2 linked regions of the Neodiprion lecontei genome follow. The protein of the gene in region 1 purifies or fractionates together with the protein of each later gene. This does not show direct contact. Links are inferred from orthologs where the notes say so. Each region holds a gene or a part of one and is shown on either strand. Other genes may lie near its edges.

Evidence for each region.
Region 2: the proteins of paired amphipathic helix protein Sin3b (region 1) and lysine-specific demethylase lid purify together in Drosophila melanogaster (affinity purification with western blotting; 3 studies listed by BioGRID, with this or other methods). This does not show direct contact. The link is inferred for Neodiprion lecontei from reciprocal best matches to the Drosophila melanogaster genes Sin3A and Kdm5.

What each region holds. Positions count from the first base shown.
Region 1 is NC_060263.1:14,435,423-14,445,752, forward strand, and holds the start of paired amphipathic helix protein Sin3b, read right to left. Parts: upstream 5,497-10,330; 5' UTR 4,709-5,496; intron 3,136-4,708; coding exon of another isoform or gene 3,054-3,135; exon of another isoform or gene 3,039-3,053; intron 1,996-3,038; exon of another isoform or gene 1,751-1,995; intron 1,473-1,750; exon of another isoform or gene 1,216-1,472; intron 947-1,215; 5' UTR 648-946; intron 1-647. Other genes in the region: protein seele, read left to right, coding at 3,054-3,135, 5,497-5,570, 6,545-6,641, 6,790-6,905, 7,177-7,383, 7,482-7,655; probable chitinase 2, read left to right, coding at 9,441-9,534.
Region 2 is NC_060264.1:35,601,982-35,612,434, forward strand, and holds the start of lysine-specific demethylase lid, read right to left. Parts: upstream 4,912-10,453; 5' UTR 4,542-4,911; coding exon 4,317-4,541; intron 2,501-4,316; coding exon 2,284-2,500; intron 2,203-2,283; coding exon 2,042-2,202; intron 1,784-2,041; coding exon 1,430-1,783; intron 1,302-1,429; coding exon 1,023-1,301; intron 951-1,022; coding exon 458-950; intron 1-457. Other genes in the region: cytochrome b-c1 complex subunit 8, read left to right, coding at 5,843-5,996, 6,090-6,184. UniProt on the Drosophila melanogaster protein: Histone demethylase that specifically demethylates 'Lys-4' of histone H3, thereby playing a central role in histone code. Does not demethylate histone H3 'Lys-9', H3 'Lys-27', H3 'Lys-36', H3 'Lys-79' or H4 'Lys-20'.

The sequences.
Region 1 (10,330 bases):
AAAATAAATGTACGTGAGTATAAATACTATAATCTACCTTGGTCTTTCTTGACGAGCGAAAACATATGCAATTCTCTGGAAAGTAATTTGTCAAATCGAAATAAAACACCAGCAACAGCACCAGCAGCCAAAACAACGTCCTGTGGATCGATTGAGTGTTAAATAACACTAATGAAAATAACGAGAATAAATGATTGAAAGCATATAATGTAAACATCACGGTGTGTTTCACAGTTTGAAAAATATCTTTCGATAAAGTAGAACCGCAGCTAGCAGCAGTAAAGGATCAAGGTCAAAATTTAATCGCGATAAGCCGGATCTTCTACACGTCGTACGGACATTCATTGATCCGTAGTGTAAATGTTTTACGTTTTTCCCTCCCGATTGAACGGTATCGCATCCATCCTGAAACTAGCGTAGTACGCGATCAAAGAATACCAGCGCAAAAGACAGTAGGAGGTCATCCATCCGGACATAAGTGAGCGAGGAGGGGCATTCAGCTAAACTCAATCCGTGAGCTACTTCTCAAGTGTAAAATAGAAAAAAAAAACTTTTCCCGAAAAGTACACGAAGGATACTTATACATATAGCTATGTATTTGTTTTGTTCAGACAGGTATCGAAGCTAGGGTTCGTGCGATATCTTACGATACAACAGCAACCTTGCTCTCTCTCGTCTCCATATGGACAGCCACATACGGTCGACATTCGGATAAGCGCCAATGACCGAACTGGGCGAGAGGGACGAAAACGGACGAAGCATCATCGTCAGGTTGGGGGTGCATCACGGTAGTAGTTCTCTCTAGCTGTCTGTCCCTCGTCCGAGTAAGCAAGCCCGACGCCGCCATCCATCGCTCGCTCTCAACCAGGCTTGTTGTGTCACCTAGTCGACGCTGACGCCCGTCGCCACACCTCGAGCACGCCCTTTCGATTTTTACGTACATTTCCTGCAGCGGTCACACTATCGTCACCAGGGATTCCGTTGTTTCACCGGATATTTTGGTTATTCTCTTTTATTTCTTCGTTATTCTATCATTTCGAGTACGGATGACAAGGGAGTGGGGAAAGGGAGAGAGAAAGAGGGGGAGGGAGAGGGGGGGAGGGGGAGAGAGAGAGAGTGGAGAGGGGGAGGCCCGTCCGCGCGTGGTAGTTATCTGCCGCATATATGCATGTAGCCCGAGGTGTGTAAAAGCTGTATCATCGTCAGTTATTAGATATTGAGGTGGGGATGGAATACCAGGTGGGGGAGTTCGGTTCCGACGACTACTATTTTGCTGCTTTCCATCTGTGTAACGTATCAACAAGCCGGGGAAGGTGGAAAGAACAAGGAGAAATAAAAAAAAAAAAAACGAAAGAAGACGAAGGAGAAGAAGCCCCGAAGTCGGTCTTATTTTGGCCGCTAACGAAAAAATGTGACAACGCAGCCACGTCGTCCGTCGTAGCGCGAGTCCAGTCAGAGGCAGAGACGCAGAGGTGAGCCTTCGACCGTGCGCGCGCGGCTCTCCCGATAATCAGAAATACAGCGTTGCCGCGAGCCCGCGTTCGTCGCATATACGTATGTTTCTATTGCTGCTCGGGAGCGAAATATCCCCACCGCTGATCCTTTAGCCCCTCGCCGTTGCCAGGGCCGTACCCAGCGGCGAAACATACGCGTGGCGTCGACATTTGTCATTTCGTTTTATTTCTTTGCGAATAAACTTGTACATGTCAAAATAAAAATGCCAGAAATTTTAACTCGTCTTACGTTCCAGAAGATGCGGGGAATAGCTGAAAGGATGGTCTCCCGATTTTTCGTGGATAAAAGAAAATATACGCTACTGGTCGAAAGATATACGTAAGGCTGTACCGTATTGGCCCGGGTTTGAGAGAGGAGTCAACGGATTGGCGGACCAAGTCCACGCACGCGAGATGAGGGACTTTTGCGTTCGACAATGACAGATTTTTACCCCCCGAGAAGATGTGTCACTAACTTTGACACTGGGTAACGTTTATCTTGGTATTACATATTCGTACTCGTATTGCAAGCGACTTTAAAAATCAGTTTCATAGGGATACCCACAAATTGGACGAAGTGAAATTTTCTAATTGAATTCAATAGATTCTAAAAATTCAAAAGATGTACAAAAGAGTATAAGCTGTGCGTGGTTGCGTTCCATCAATTCCCTGTATCGTAGTTTTGTATGGTATTCCATTCTTTTTTTAGAATTACCTTTGAAAAGCTTTTGCATTGAAGCTAGCAAATGACAGAGAAAGGTATTAATAGTGCGATTATTCGATGGGTCCGCTTTGTCAGGAGTCTTCCTGTATCGCAAACTCCAAAATCGGCGAAAATCTTTGAACTGACGGACGTTAATATATGACTAATCAAACGCCGTAACGGACCACAATCAATTTGCCATTATTTCGTGAATAAATTGATGGCATCGCCGTATCGATATTCCCAGTTACACGTGGATGTGCCGTTTATGTATGGTAATTCGTCACAATTAGGCTGTAATTGATGTTCGTTTTACTAAAAGATCTGATTCACATGAAAGTATATGCATTATACTTATAGATATATGACAACGTTTCTTCGTTTGTTCAATTACAAATTTACAGATTCCAAATACTCTCAACAATAAGTAGTAAATGCCTGAATAAATGGGACAGACGTCAAAAGTTCGGTACGAAATTTCGTTAAAGAAAATACTCGCAACGTCGAAGAGGCCGTGGTTCCCGCGCTTTGCACCGCGACACGACGCGGGAGTTGGTGAGGGACAGGGGAACGGAGAGAAATTTTTTTGTATCGACGGCCCTGAGGAGCCAGTCTTTTTAGTGGACAGAGAGCCGTTCTAAGGCACACGCCATGAGAATATGACAAAAGTAGTTCCTCCCCCACGCAACATACTCTCGTTCCATAATATGAGGTCCTGCATCGAGTAGTACGTACACACATAGCCAACGATCAATCTTCTATCCTTCGTCGACTCAAAGCTTTGGATTTTCCACCGCGAATTATTGTGGCAGTGTGCGCACGCGCGTTTATGTGTCCGAAGCTTATTCAGGCAACCGATGAACTACCTACTTGGCCTGTCAAATCACGCGTACCTGTGCAACAGCAACAGCAGCAGCAGCGGCGGCGGCTTTCTTCGTAGTCAGTGTTGTGCAAATTCTCAATAAATATTCGTTGAATTTGATGTTGGGAAATTTCTCTTTCTGACATTCGTATCGTTGGTATTTTAACGCGGTACTAAATTTCGTGAATTATGCATTGGAATATAATAGCGGTTGGATATACGGAAGCGTGCGCATGTATATTTTTCCCGTTGTTTCATGGTGATTCTTCGCATTTTGCGCGCAAACCCGACGGCGACGATGTACGCAGCACGAGGCGCGAGGCCGGGAGAGCCATCGTTATTATACGGCGGCGTGTGCACCGGAATCGATATTTGAAGCGTGCGTTCCGTTTCTGCGTGGCTGGTGGTCGCTTCTCTCACATTCGCGCATCCCGCGGTCCTACGCGAAACGCGCGGGCGAGCCAAACGATGGGCTCTCGCTCGAAACAGAGACGAAAAACGTATAACAACAAATACGTTCGGCGATGAATTCCTTCTCTAAACACTCACCCAACCGATTGCATAGGTACGCAATGCGGGTATAACGCGTTTGCAATTACGGATGTTGTTCACAGGAGATTAATCACCGCACATAGTAGTCGCACAACTGGCTGCAAGGATACAACATGATAAAGAAAGTATCTTATATGAAAAAGCCACCGATATCAATATGACAGTCCGTAGGGCGGACGTTTTTCATCGTGATTCAATTATTTTCACGCAAAATTACATCGTACGCGCTTTTCACTCAAATTTAAATGAAAAAACCTACATCCCTAATCGAATTGTGTCGCACTGCATTGCGATGGCTAAAACTCTAGTAGGCGATGTTCTGTTCTGATTTTTCTAAAATAGTTCGTGGTAATCATCTGTCAATCTGTGGCATGCGTACGCGTGTGAGCAACTACTCTCATTCCAGTAAAATTATTCAACGACAGAATGCGACAACAGGTAAATTTCAATTATTAAAGTGGGTGAAAAATCCGACGGATTTATATTATTCTCGGTTGGGTATTACGCGAAACGAACGATTATTTCGAACGAGGCTCCCGCGGATCCGAATGTTTTCTTCTCCATAACGCGGCTGCGGCGATGCCAAGTGTTCCCGCTGCTGCACGCGAAGCTACGAGTCTGTAGGTACTCGGTTAGCTGCTTGAACTATACAAATATGCCTTCTGCTTGCCTCTGGGTTAATCGTAAGAAAGTGGACAAACGATAGACCGTGATTTTCATACATCAACGAAAATATGCAAATTGGTGCAGCGAGGAACGGGAGTAACGATATGCGGACGGAGCACGATCCTCGAGGAAGTTTTTAACTTCTAATTGAAAAATACGTTAGAGTTTTGCCATATGACGTAGTAACGCAACACGGGACATTATGTCACTCCGCCCGGCCCCCCCAAACAATATTTCTGTCACCGCGGTGATACGCGACACGCAGTTTTTTTTTTTAATCCTGGCTCAGATGTGCCGGATTATTTTATACATTCGATGCTCACGATTGCCTAGTTTTATGACTGCGTCAGTGAATTTTCAAGGGTGAAATGCATACGTGGGAGGGGGGAGATTCTCTTTTTTCAAATCAGTGATGACCACAATTTTACATACCTGACAGCCGCTTGAATTTCACTTTAATTTCAATCAGAGCGTATAAAACTGCACTTTCCGTTGACGTCGACACTTGGAAATATTCACCAATAAAATAGCGATTATTATTATTGTTCTTGTGTGATGAATCTTGACACATCTTACGGGTAAACTGGTCCGCTCATGCAGGTGACCGATTGAAGACTGTCGGGTCAGCCGCGAATACGGCCGAACTCAAACGAGCCCGGAGGGGTGACGGGCTTGTCCTTCCGACAACACTTTGACGATTTATCAAACGGATAAGCGGAGGCTGGTCTCGGACCGAGCCAGGATCACATTTTCACTGTTATTTCACCTAATAACCGCTGGAGTTTGACTCGCGTCAGCCGCGTTGCATCTAAATTAGGAATCGACTCTGCGGCGTCACTGACGATCACCCCCATTGCGCGAGCTAATGGACTCGTCCGTACTTGGCAACTGTTTTCCCTCGGCTCGAAGCTGCATTTTCATGCTGCCCGACGCCCGCGGCTCGGCCCGAGCTCGCCTCCGATTGGTCGATCAGTCCGAGCGACGTTTGCGCGCCGATTACGAACTCCGATATCCCCGGCAAACATGCCATAGCTAACCTCTTCTTCCTTTGTAGTCAGCTTTTGTTTCTTAACTAATGATTAATACCGAGGACCAAATGTTTACGATTTCCGTTATTGCCTTATTTTCTCTTCAAATTCATGATAAAATCGCTGGAAACCCCTTTTACTCGTGAATAAAACGTGTGTACGTACGGCCACGCGTGTCGTTCCGGTACGCAGGCCAATTGGATCTGATCAACCGAAGACGAACTGTGCGTGAGCCTCTTTTTCCTTCCTCTCCACAGTGCATATGGGTATGTATGTACCATTGATAGCCGTCACTCGCTTTTTTGTTCTTTTATCAGCGATTTCAAATCACTAAAAAGTTTTATTACCGATTATAAAATCATTTCGACCTATCGGCTTTTATCGACATCGCTGCTCATTCGACATCTACTGATCAATTCCCTTTCTCGCACGTATTAATTAATTACATTTATTATTTCACGATGCCGTCGATTTCTGTAAGTTGTCTCGTCCGGTTGGCACGACGATACAAAGTGAAATGTGACCGACCAGTCGCTACAAAAACACGCGTGCGCGCGGTGTTGGGCAAAATTGTCTTTCAAAAGTCGAACACCACTACGACTCGCATTTAACTGACAAGTGGTAAAATATCGAACGAACATCTTAATCCCGGTAATATCCCCGTAAATTATTACAACCCGACACCCGGTGTAGATGCACACAAAAGCCCAATGTAAAAGTTAAAAGTCTTGATAGTTCATCAATTGACAGAGTAAAATTTGTCGGTTAAAGTTTGACAACTGTAACAACAATGAAACTTTTGTTAGATGTTTCATTTCCTTTCTATTCCCGTCGGTCACCACTCGACCTCTCGACACAGGAAACTATCGTTTTTCATTGGACGGTAGTGGCGGCCGGGCGTTAGTAGTCGACCAATCGGAATTGAGAGCGTGTAGCGAAGCGGTAACGGGCGATGAGATTACACGTGTCGTGCGTTCGCGAGATGATCACGGTAGTTTAAAGCAGGCTTCCTATGCGGATTAGCCGCAGTTTAACGTGCAGGTTCCTCGCCTAAGTTTAGCAGGTGATTTGCGTAGCTCTGACTTCGATAGAGTTTACAGGAAACTGGTATGGTTATAAATATCCACATATACCAGGGTTTATTCAAGGTTAACAGTGAAGGGATCTGACCATCTCGTCTTGTCGCTTTGTGTACTTGTTGATATTGTTTTTAACATCATTATTTACTCTACTGTTGCAGACGATGATGTTCCTGACGATAATATCAGTACTGTGCCTAGGTATCGGAGCTTTTACCCAGAGTCAGCAAATTGACAGCAAACAGCTACAATGTTTAGGTGCGGAAAAAATGAAAGTTTTATTCGAAAGGAATGAAAAAAGTTTTCATTAACCGTTGTGAAAACATTGAACATCAAAGGAGTAGCTAAAAAAATATCAACGTCCGAACAAAAGATCTTGGATCTATTGATAATTATTTGCCTTTAGTTTGCAGAACTACCATGGATGAGCTGGAGGCAGAAATAGCTAAAATCGATCCATCAGTTTCCATTGATGTTGGTAACTACCGACTGGACGCAAATGGAAATGTGAAACAAAAGTCTGTACGTAAACATGTAGCCTCTTACCGTTTCTCCATGTGTCTTGATTTCATAAATTTGATTGATCCGAGATGAGTAGAAGAATTATGATAGCCTGGTATTGATAGAAATATAGCTAATTGGCTCAGCTGTCAACTGTCAGCTACGATAACTGATACCAAATTGATAAGATATACTGATTGTCAATCTGTGATCTGAATTTTCTTTGCTCGATTATATTGCTGATACGCTTTGATTGATCAATATTTTTGTTCAATATATTATTTTTCAATAGATTCCTCTCGCCAGATCTGAAGTGCACATTTCTGACATGCTCGACAGTATATGCGCCAAACTTGACGACTATGTCAGAGCTACGTACAAATCAACCGGTCAACTTACGCTTCTAAGAATAATGGATCCTACCGGAGGAATGAATCCTGACATCAGCAAAGTGGACATTGTTCAAGACGGAGATTTGAACAAAAGCCTCAAATTCTATGTAAGCAGAGCGGAGTTATTCTTTAATTGTGACAAACTATCATTAGCCCAAGTCGTGTTTTACCTTGATTTAAACCTGTTTCCTTATTCCCTCTTCAGTGCGAAGGCATCGTTGATGAGTTTGAAGATGATATAGTCCAGTTGTTCAGCAAGGGAACTAAAGACATCGATGTCAAGGTCTGTACGGATGTGGCAAACTTCTGTTCGGACACTGTATCTGGTGAGGATGAATTCACGGAGGACGATGATTTCACAGAGAGAGATGAATTGTGATGAAAAACGAGAAACGGACGTTGGTGAAGAAAGTTTGTAGCAGTTTTACAAATTTTGTACAATGTTAAACAAATTCGTTCCGCAGCTTCGTTTTCACCCGCGTAATTATATTTAACTCGGTGATTAAAAAAATGTGAAATTGTGAGAAATAGAAATGATTCTCTTCTCACAAAATTACTCACCGTGTATTTAATAAGTTATTTACGAGGTTAGCCACGAATTTCTATTGACTGTCGGCTTGAACTGATATTCGTACATACATTTGCCTGCTGTTACAGCTGTAAATAAATCAACTCCTCATGGCAACGATTGTTGATCAGGTGTAATTACGCGCCAATCTATTGTATATGATTGTATACAGCATCTCGTTGATACCTCAGTACAATATTTCAGTAGGCACTGAAGTTTTGTACGACAAAACGATATATTTAGTTCATGCGAATGAAATTTATCTACTGATTCTTTTTTTTTTTGTAAAAAATATATTCCTATTTTCTCTTTTTGCTGTGCTTTGCGCAATTGTGTTGCGTATCACCGTTATGCCAGCGAATGTATAATTAGAAATTTGTTGCAAGATTGTTGAATCTGATTAGAATCCTATACGGAGATTGTATATGATTCATGTATTTTTCTTGTGGAAAATTAGATGAAAATGTTAATTATACGGTCAATATGACTCGAACGAGCAATTACTATTTCTCGTAATTGCGAGGCAATACAACCGATTCAGTATCGTGTCGCTTCAAGCACTTAAATATTATTCGCAATAAAACAGGTTATCTGAATTTAAATCAAGTCTTTTGTCAGGGATTTTCGTTAGTAATTCCTACGACTGATCTCGGATGCAAGTAACCCTTCCGAATCACACCTGTTGCTCGCAATCAGCCGCTTAACCCAATACGCCTTACCGTAGGCAGCATACATCACTTCTACCATTACGCCTTACCGAAGGCTATCCGACGCGCGTAACCTGTTGAACACTACGGCACGATAATTTGTCAGATCGCGTAAGAGAATTATCTGCATTTTCGTTGGGTAGAGAAGTCAGATTGGATCAGGTCATCGGGTCATCCAGGGCCATTCTAAGTATCGTAAAAATAGACCTGTATCATGAGATAGAATTAAAATTCCATTTGATTCGTCAGCAGAAAATCGGTCGTTGAAAGTTAAGAAAAAAGTAAAAGCAAAAGAGCCGAAACCCGCAAGAGACGAAGCTGGCGCAGTATTCGGACTGACTGGACTGAGCGCTCTTATGAGCCGGTTGAAGAAAACATTTAAAGGACAGAAATATGCTGGGAGTATTCCTTTCTCTCTTTGACGATATTTGTGGCGGGGATCGAGGCGGAAGAGGAGATGAGGCGAAATTATGCTCCTATATCTATAGCTGTTCTACTTCACTGCTCCGTTGTCTCCCACCATGACGCCGATTGAAAAGAGGAGCAGTACTCCCGGTATATCTCTGTCCTTTATATGTAATTGTCAGTGCATCTTATAGGAGCGCTCACAATCAGTCTATCTTTATAAGTCCTATGGGAATTTCGGAGCGTCCCTTCCACTCGTCGCTGAACTACAGTTACCCTCGCTGCTAGTCGGTGCACCGTTTCCATCACCACTAGGTATCTCCCCTTCCAGCTTGCTTGAATCCGTTTCTATCTACATATCCTATACCTTGTTCGCGGCTTCGTACAACCTACTAAACAAATTTTTCTCCACAAGCTCGAGTGAAAGTCGACAGACAGTGCGGAGAGTAGATACGGTGTGAATATACTAACGAGAGTGACGACAATGGGAAATCACCTCGGCTTTGTTACATCGGGAGCTTTTCTAATTATTTTCGCTGCTGCCCTTATTGCCCTACAGATTGTTAACGGTTTACAAGGTAAGTCACAGCTGGCTGTTCAATTTCCTTGACATTTATTCGGAATCGTCAAACTTTTCAATTTCTTTTTCTGCACTCCTTTCTTTCTTCCATCGCCCCCTTCACATCAGTATGACTCCTATGCACACGTACACTTCACTCGCCGGTAGTGATTTCGATGCCCAGGGACCAACGTCGGAAATTTTTGCCTTTTTATCCTTGATTCCTATGTCGAATTTTGTTATACACATATTTAATTGCTTCTTATTTGGCATCTTTTTATTCAACGTATACGGGTTTGGCTTTGCGAATTTGACGAGTGGCACATTCGAAGATCTCTCATCAAAAGAATAATTCTTGTCGCCCCTTTGATTTCCCTCTATAAGTATGAGGCCGCGGGCATGTTACTTTACACCTATGTTTCACGGTTTCGGTTACTGATGTAATAACAACAGAATGAAAAAAACCTGCGGTCCACATCCTTTTTTCATTATTAACACAGGCGTCCTACAGTGGGCCAAAAATAAAATGAAACAATTTAAAATATGAATAAAATCTGAACGCGTCGAATGGTTCTCAATAACGTTTTTTATTCGAAATTAAAAGAATACACCTTTCGTTTCGCGTTTGAAAATCTGAGAAATATTTATTCTTTGCTGAGATACACGCTCTTGAAAAACAGGTTTTGGAGTAGTTGGGAGGATGAAAAAAAAGTATCAGCAAAGAATGTTCAACGAAATTACCTTCTTGTATTGTGATTCGAAGTTTGATTTTAGCATTTTAGCGAATCTTAGATTCTATTCACATGGCATGAAAC
Region 2 (10,453 bases), on another chromosome or scaffold:
CAACCAGGTCCAGGACAGTACAGCCATCGACGATTTTCTGAAGTAAATTAAAGCAAAGACCAATATGAAGTTGAAAGAACCAAAGGAACTTAATCGAACAGTAAAAATGTTACGTTGAGATGTCGAACAATAAGTGAATATGGCAGCCTGACGAATATATTGGACAAAAACTCTGGAGCCTGTGTCATGGGAGCATTCAAAGATAGCACTGGTGCCCTGAGTGAAACTGAAGCGAATTTTTCAATACTTTAAGAATTGTCACAAGTAGATGTGATATGGACAAATTGAATTTTTTCCCGAATGCAGTGAATTGTTGAACTTGCCATCTATAAGTGTAAAACTGGTAGGAAAGAGAGTAAATTGACAACGAAATGTCGAATCAGCAGGATCAGTTAAAACGTGATAATTTTCTTATACCATATTCAATGGGCGTTTATAATTGTCCTGTAATATTCACCTTCATTCATCAGTATGTTAGGGTTCATAATAGTGACGAGTTGGTGGAGAAGGTCCGGTTGGCTGTGGAATAATTCCGGGGCAGCAGATTTCATGGAATGTTCAAATCTTTCCGCCTGAGATCCAGGAACTCCGTACCAAGTCTTGGGCTCTCCCCAGTGTAGATAGTTTATGGAATAACTCCAATGATCTTCGTTGTGCCAACAAAAGGTGGCAAAGCACATGCCAACGTACATCCAGGGAACTTTCATCCCGCTAATGTCTGCATTGATGTGTCCCAGCACGCTTCCATGTAGAACGGGTAAATTATTCAAATTCCACGAAGATTCGGCGTACTCCTGATCGCACGTGAATAAATTGACACTGGTCTTCGTCGGGAAACCGGAGCCATGATCCATTGTGTGCAAATCAGCCCCATACTCGACGGTCACATCTTCATCTATCGAAGAAACAATCCGCCAGAATTCCTTTTCGACCAAAGGAGTCGGTACCATCTGAAAAAAATTACCGTTTAAAGACGTAACTCGAGAGAGTAATTTGAAATTGAATGAAAATATGATGCTTACGTGTACAGGCATGTTGAAGTAATCGCTTTTGAACTGATCGGCCATTTCGCCAAATTGTTGCAGCGTATATTCACGCTGAGCTTGTTCAAATCCAAAGGCTTCCATAGGCTTTGAGACTTCTTCGGCGACGCATTTTGGACATCGCCAATCACCCTTTGGTATTTCGGTTAATGGTGGCATAAGGCAGAAGGTGTGATAGCTGTCGTCGCATCCGTCGCACAACAGCATGCTCTCCTCTGTATCGCCTCTACCACAGTTGTGGCAAATGTATTTGGCAAGCTGTGAAAAAAAAAAAGGACAAAGGAATAAGAATGTGCAAAAATATAGGAGATCTTTAGTAAGCTGTAATACACCGATAAACAAACAATTATTTATTTCTCAACACGTGAAAAATTGAATTCACTTACCGGGTCAAAATCATAGTGTAATTTGACGCCTCTGGTTTTGCTAGGCTTTTTTACATCTTTGGTATTAAAACCGGCCATTTTCGGACCAGGTCCGTAAAACTGCAATTTTTTAAGCTCTTTGCTGTTATCTTTATCCTTTTCATTGTCAGAGTCGCACTCATCTTTGCAATCTTCTTGCTTAATAGGTGATGTGCTGTCTGTGACTAATTCTGGTTTTTCATCCGTACCAGCAAATCGCTTGGAACGCCGTGAAAATTTTTCATTTGGTGGTTTTATTTGCTGTCTCGATATTATTCCATGAGGCTTATAATCCCTGTCCTTTTTTTCATTCACGTCACCCTCTGGCTCAATTTTCTAAAAAAAAATCACAATACTAGGGTAAGCTTTGGACCATTTAATGTTTGTTTTTGATTAATAGAGTCCAATTCAGGAACTTCACATAGTTGAAAATAAACAAAAATTGTACCATCAGCTCTGCATAAAATGTCTGGAGGCCAACGCGTTTTTTTTTTTCTGTTTTCTTTTGGAGACAGTACAAATGATTTATTACTGATTAAATGAATAAACACTACATTGATAAGTCAGTTGCAAATTTAAGCTGAAGATACTTACAATGTCAGTCAAGGTTTTCCCTTGCTTGAAAACATCAAAGGGATACAAAATTCTTTCATAGTGGTTTTTTAAAATACTTCCAACGCTTCGACCGGATGGATATCCTATCCTGTTTGCAATCTTTGCCCACCTTCTTTCTTTAGTAACTGTTTCAATGCCACCTATGAAACAATATTACAAAGTATTAGTATTATCGTTAAATCACAGGTAACTGGGAAAGGACGATAAAAACAATCCTTTACCTTCCTCGGTGACAATTCTGTGTAAGGAGTACAAGTCTAAAGCTTTACGTTCAACCAGTGGAATTTTCAACGATGATCCTTGAAGCTCCCAAAATTTGGCTATTTGATCTAAAAAATTCAGCTTTATTCTGGTCTTTGCTTCAAGTTCGTTTAACCTCTGAATTCTTGGTACAAATTTGAATTTGTCAACGTCAACGGCAAAAGGTGGTTGCCAATTCTGTGGAAAAAAAAAAATATTGAATTTAATGAGCAAACTGGAAACTTGGTTCTACTTATTTACTTATTTTCTTTAGTTTGTAAATTGGAATTAAACATTTTACAGTTTTGGAAAAATTTATTGTACATAGTGGTTCGACTGTTGACAATTACATAATAAATGGTGAAAATTCTATTATAGTTTTTCCCGTTTATTTTTAAACTATGCAATCGCATGTTTCGTCATACAAATTATACGCCGAATCTATAACGGTAAGCGTCCTCCCCCCTTCCGCCCCTCTGACGCTCGCCCTTTGCCCTTAGCAATGGCAATAAAACACGGATGCATTTGGATTACTGTTTTGTTCTAATTTCAAATCTCGACAGTTGAAGCCGACCTTAGTTTTCGGTTCGGTTCGCAAACTCCTACTTTACTAAATTATTGGATATAGCAGACGTGAGGTAGGATTTGTCTCTTGGATTGATAAAATGGTAATGCAAGCGTAACGTATAATTTCTTGTTTAGAGAAGAAATAAGACACAATTAACAGGGGCATTCGCAATATAAACAACGACAGCTCTTCGTTTGCCGTTGATTACTTTTCACCTTTCTTTTCTTTACAGTACGCGCACGGATATGCAATGTCCGTTATACCTACATAAAACAAAATGGACATCATCTTTCATTTTCTTTCGACGGATTCGACAATCGTCAGACGCTTGTAAATTGAGTAACGGAATTACGTATTGACCGAATGCTCTCACGGCGATTTATTTTCCGAGGTTTGCAACTCATTTGACATTTAATGCAAGAAAAATAATGGCTGTATCAGGTATAACAACTTCGATCGATTTTATCGTTACAGGTAATAATGTATGCGTATAAACATCGTCGTTGGATTGACGTTTCTTGTTTTTATTTGTTGTTTCCGATTTTCTCGGTTTACACCATTTCAAATTTTTCTCGATGATAAGCGTATCGCGGCTGCGATAAAAATTTATTCATCTAGTAATTTGCTAATCGTAAAATGACGAACGACCATTATGTGCATCGATATAGCTATAGTTTGTGGATGTAACACGCTGGTGAGATTAACATCGGTGGTAGTTTCGCCCGAGTAGAAAGAAAGAGGTAGCATAGGTGTTCGAAAAACAAAAAGAGAAGAAAAAAAAAAGAAAGAAAGAAAGAAAATCGGTCAGTAAAGAAAAACGACACCAAATACAACAATAATTAATTATTCTTCCGGAAGAATATTTCTAATGACAGTTTACAACTGTAAAAGTGCGACATTAACGTTTGTGAGAGGACGTGAGATAATGACGAAACGTTATGTCAGTCACAGGAACAGTCGAGAAGACGCAGCATTTAATATACCTAGATGTCATTTGTTTACGCGATTTCCCAAAATTAACGTCCAATGTTAGCATCGTCAGAGCAATGAGAAAGCAAATCGACAAACAGAATCCCGTTTCTGCCAATGTTATTTATTTATTTACTCCGCATTTGTTCCTTTCATCGCGTATTCAATCGTACAACTCTAGCCCATGTGGATACGGGTGATTGTGGGAGATTTTTTTCATCCCGAACAATAAGGTATCCATCCAAAGAGGGTGTGAGCGCGTGTGTGTACATAGTATTTTTTTTTTGTTACACATTTTTATCGCATCTACATCACTTTTCGCTTTCCTTTCTCAAAGCCCCCAAACACATACGGTTCGTCGACGCTGGATTTTAACATCTCTACGGCATAGGGAAAGGGGGGGGACGATAAAGGGCGAAAGGCCTCCTAGATGAGGGGTGAGGCGGGGAGGGCTGTCGCATCGTTGTAATTACTCACTGGCGGTGGTTTTATTTTGCAAATTCCCGATTTTTCGGCAATCGGACGAATCTTGGAGATGTAGCCAAGGGGGTCGAGGAATTCCTCCGCTGTTGGCTCAAAGACTGGGGCCTCTGGTGGTATAGCGAACTCAAAATCCTTGTCACCTTTTTCACTCATATCTTTAGCGTGATAAGTACCAAACCGAGCCTCGCACCCGATATTTACATCCACCTTAGAGACCATCACGTAATTTCGTCACACAACGAATGCACACCACCAACGAGGACATATAGGCAAAGTTTTGGTATGTTAAATTCCCCCGTGGATTTCACTCGGGAATCACCAATACACCGTGGCACGTGACAATAGTGTGGGGATCGATTAGGAAACTCGGTACTACTCAGGTATTAATTGGAAAAACTTGTTCGTCAATGTTTTTAGCGCAGCCATGGCTACGGATGTCGTATATATGACCGTTACCGATGTGACAATCCGTCCGTCCGCACACAACTCCTCGGGTTCTATGTAGGAACTATAGAACGATTCTAATAGGCAGAGCTGCTCGGTACTCACACCAGTCCGTCTGGCACGTACGTATGCATTCAGTACTTGTTCCACTATCACGCTGCTCGAGAACCAACCTCTGCGCGCATGCGACAACCGAATGCGTTTTTCTCCCGTGTTTCTTCCATCGGCGCTTCCTCAATCCTCACCGCCAACATGGCTGATACCTTCACGCCATTGACTGAGCTTTCGGCCACACCGGAGAAACTGCCGTCGAGGTTATACCTGCGTTTTATTGCGTTCATCTCTCAAGACTCTACGGAGCATACGAGGCGTCGTCAATTCTACGGATGAAAACAGATTGATCGTTTGAATCGTCGATGTTGGTTAGGCAGCAAACTGGCTCAGCGATCCTTCATTGGTCAGTTGCGAAAGATCCGTGAAAAAAATAGTATCCCGAGTGAGTCAACGTTGGCAGAACTGCTGGCCACTCGCTCCTCAGTTTCGTTTCTTCGTGTTGGTGCACTTTGTCTACCCGTCTGAAGTCGGTATCTTCTTTCCATTAGACTCGACGTGTGCTCTCTGCGCAAGGGGTAGGTGTCTTTACCAAATAATTACATAATTTATTCGAAAAACGATAGAGTTATCTAACTTAATACTCGATGAGTTTCTCCGCGGTATTCCGTTTGCCGTTTTTACCGTATTTCTTCTTACGTAATTCGGACGTGACTGTTAGGTTGGTCACAGAGAGGGCTACGTACTGAATTACGTTATTTGCCAGTCAGTCGATGCTTTACGTCTTCTGTTGCAATTTCTCTGTTGTCATTAGAATATTCATAGCCATCAGACCGATAAGAATGTCCAGCGGAATGATTCATTTTGCAAAAAAGTGTGTTCGGCACCTTCTTTCTACACCAATTCCACACACCTTTTCACCCCCCCCCCCCCTCGCTCGTGTGGTAACTGTCGTATACACACCACTCGCCACACAAAATAACAGCTTAACGTAAATCAGATATTTTCCACAGACAGTTGGCAGGATGGGAAAGGTATTTGGAAACCTGTACAAGCTGCGAGGAATTATTTATTACCGACTTAGTCCGTACGAGCAGCGGGCATTCGCAGGTGCGATATCTCATGGTGTACCGAATGTATTTCGTAGGATAAAGGAGAACTTGTTTACAATGGGCCCACGTAAGTATCTCAACAAAGTCGTACGAGACTGTGTGATTAGATTCAAACCAGTCGTGTCTGTAATGTCTAAGATGAAAAATTTTCTTGTTAAAGCCTTTTTAATAGCCTACTTGGTCTACGACTGGGCAGAAAAGGAACACGCTCGCCTTCAAAGGAAGAACCCCAAGGATTATGAAAATGACGTATAAATAATTAGTATTTGCATAGTTTATTTATAGAATATGGTTGGAAAGTCAAACAACACACATGCATATATCTATCTGTACAGAGTATCCGTGAATATATTGCGTGTATCGAATGTCTAAAGTTATACTACACGAATAAAGTTTCCTGTCAATTTAACGAGAAAGTGTTCGTTAAGAGTACCGTTTGAAATTTAATTTTCAGATAATACGTACTCTGCTTAACGAGTTGAAAGATTTATAATTTACCAACGAAATCCTGCTATCGAACGTTCAAACGGCGTCGGAAAAATTGACAACCTGAATTTCTTCGTAACCATCCTCCTCATTTTGTTTTCAATTCTTAAAGCAGCTGTTGTGGGCCATTCATTGCCAAAATTTGTTCAGAAATCACTTCTGCATAATTCGAAAAGCCAATTCTGGAAATTAGAAATACAGTCAAGCTGTAGTTGACCGAATTCAATCGATTTCGTAAAAACTTGTAATATGGCCACAGCAAAATTGAAATATGGTAAAAAAAAAAATATCAGGACTACGTTTTTTCGGCTTTGACTTTCAAATTGTCTGAAAAACATCCTTCGGCTTTAGAGGACGTTTTTAAAATAGCGAATTTTCTCCCATCGACACTGGATTATCGTTAGCTAATAACGATTCATGGATGCGAAAATTGTAATGCAACAGCCTTGACTGTATCCTCCGAAAGAATCAGACTGAAGTTAAGCGATTGAAAAATTACTCTCAAGGAGTTGGCTTTTCAAAATTGAAGTATATTTTGTTTACAATGGTTTACCAAATCTCGGACTTTCCTATAAATGCGAAGTACCGATTTTTCGTCAACATGCACCGTTACAGTAACGTTACTACTTTATCTTGACTTCATCCTATTCCGAAAGAATCTCGGGTACAGTTTTCAAAGTTGGAGCTTCCAAATTCTTTCACCGACTCCATTTAAATACCTTCCGCGAAGAAAACAGTTTGGACTTTAACTGTAGTATGTTCTTGCCGTAATAAAAGAAGTTTATGCCTTCCATGTTCCGAGAAATACGAGCAGGTAAAATTTGGCTTGAATTCAATGGCCAGAGCAAGCAAATACCCACGACTGTCGTTTATTGTTTTGCCGCCTTTGTGAGCGCTACAGGGCAAGCCGAGAATCCGCTATCGGTGGCCCAGGTAAACCTAAGACCTCTTCTAACCGATCGTACCGAGCTCCGTCGCAGGTCTCGACGAATGGAAAGCTCGGTACCGTTCCACCTCGACCAATGAGGTGGTTCGTTTCATTTGCTACCTGTCCGTGGGTCGAAGGGGGTGAAGAAGGGGGACACCCGCCCAAGTTTACCTGGGGCTTCGTCAGGTATAGAGGTACGGCACAGGTATTTCCAGTCGACAATGAGTGGGACCGAGGTCCGCCCAAAACTCCGTTGCTCTGTGCCGTATTGTATATAGGTGAGTAGAGTGTGACGTCGGGACTGACACTTGTTGACGGAGTTGATAGTTTTCAAACTTTTATCGTTCTGGTACCTGCAGCTATACCTGTAAGTTGATAAGTTTACAGTGAAAATAAACGGCGGCGATTGGTCTTGTGCCACGCGATTACGATTATAACCACCGTCATATTGGATATTATAAGTTTCGTCGAGCCAAACCCGCGTTCTACCAAAACTCGGCTGTCACAAGGTATTTATCGATGATATTCCACTACACCGATACACCCACATACACGCACGCACATACGCCCATACACGCAGCAGCAGAGATATGGACACTCTTTGGCTAGTCTTAACATCCGACTACCGTAATTTTGTATCAGTATATACATGGGGTACGAATAACACAACTTGAACGGAGCTCCAAGCGTCGATTCCACTTCACCCATTATGCGGCTTATTTCGCAAGCTGTCTGTTTTTCCTGGTTATTGTCCTCTTGAAAATCCAATTAGGGTTTCAGTTCTTGGTGTGTGTTAAGATTGGTGTGTATTAAGATACGGCCGAATTGCCGGTTGAAGCCGAGCTCAATCCCGTACCCAGCTTATGCTGTAGCCCGAGGTAAATATCGCGTTGGGTTGTGACGATAAGGGGAAAGAGGATCGAAAGGAAAAACAAAAATCATACCGGCGTAACTAACAAGAAAACCAAGGTGATTAGAAATCAGTTCCAGGAACTAGCCGCACACGGTGTACTGAATTATTTAAGCGTCTGTACCTACATTGGACGTAATATTTCATCTCGATCCTTACAATTTTGGTCGATCCCGTTCGGTTGTGATGATTAATTAAAACTTGACGAACAGCTCAGTCAAATTTGTCAAAATGCTGATAAGTTCGTGCTAATTTCTTGCCTATCAAGAATTGAAAAGTATCGCGACTTATCTTTCCCGATTAGGGTAATATGCGGTTAGACAAACACACGCATTATTCCGGTAATTTTTGCACGCGCCATGCGAGCTTGATATGCACACCTTGGAAATTTTTTCATCAATTCCGATACAGGGTGTGTCAGCCTAAGGCACGAATAGCTTTGTGAAGCACGTCGTCGTCGCGCAACCTCCCATAAACGTAGGGTAATGTTAATGTACGGAAGAACAACGCGGTACCTATACCTACGCCTCGAAGACATTTCCGATGCGTTTCGTAACGGTCTTACTTTGCCACATGTATGCACACCGACACCGCGCTGCAGGATTCGAGCACCGATTTTCGCCATGCCGTACACGGTGTGTAGATCTATTTTACTTCGCGGTATCGAAAATCGCTTGAAAACACCTGCGCCTAACTTCCAGCGTCTGCACGATCGTCGGACGCTACACACCATATTCCACATTCACAACCAGCCATTAGATTTTCGACCTTGGCCTTGACGAGGTCCGACGACCGATATCTAACTCGGCATCCGAATGTCGAACTTTCTTATCTACCGTATCCCATCAATTTCAAATTGTCAATCAATTTCGCACCGCACTTTGCGGTACAACGATGAAGATCCATAACGTTAGTAGGTATATTTCAAAACGAGCATAGGCATATTATATTATTATACACGAGTTATGAATGCGTACGTGTATTCCGGGAGCAGATGAAAGTTTCTCGACTATACAATATATGTATATATATATGTATATATGCATAGGTATACGTATGCACGTAAGTCGAACCGTGCCATGCGTACACGCGTCGTACCTTCTGTATTTGTGTCAACTGTATACATATACGTATGTGTACACACGTGTTTCGTGTGTGGGATAAGCGCGTCCATTACGGATTGGGAATTTCAAATGTGGTTAAAGTCGCCTTGGAATCTCTGGAATGCGATTCAGCCAAGAACTGATCCCTTCTGGCTGTCTATACATATACATCCTACGTGATACGTACACGATACATACACTTGCGTACATAGGTATACGCATACACACGCCTGTATCGGCGCGTGCATTAATACTCTTTGATGCCGCATGAGATGAGCGGGGGGAGGGGGGGGGGGGCACCTTTCGTTACTTGCCCACATCCAGCCTCGCAAGCTTACATCTCGAATTCGATAGTGTCAACATAAAGGCGCGTGCACACGTGACGTTTCGTTGCCAGTTTTTCACCCGTTGACTTTTGTTCTTTTCTTCTTTCTTCCTCATTCAGGGTCGATGACGATGATGATGTCATTTTCCGTAGGTACGAGACGCACGTTCGCACGTCGGTCGTGTCACTCCGAACAATCAACCGCGAGGAGAATTTGATTCCTCTTGAGGCGCGATACGATATCTAATTCTTGCTCTTCGTACGCCTTTTTTGACTTGCCTATCTTTGACAATATCAGAGACACGATTTTCACCAAAATGGCAGCCTCTAGGTATTGAGGATATTGAGCGGCGAAAATCTCACACATAGTATTAACAATGATGCCGGGATGTTGTATTTCTTTTTCTTTATGCATGGAGTCATACTTCTTGCGATGCTCATGAGAATCTGAAAATATATTTCTAGAGAATTGGGTGGGAATTTTGTAATTATAAGTTTCTATACCAGAACGAGTTTAGATCAGACGCAGTTTTGACGGTATATGAAGGAGAAATTCACCGCCGAGTTGTTGTTACCAATCTAATCTATTTCTCTAGACTGGTTGGTTTGCTCGCGCAGGCTGCAGACTTTCCGTCGTTCGATTTGCAATTGAGAAAAAAGAAAACAGCGTACATACAATCATTCGCCAATTTCTTTCATGAAAAAGCATACTTAGATACCGCCTGCGAAGAAGTAAATATAACGTAATCGCCGTTTGTTGACACGCTTCATG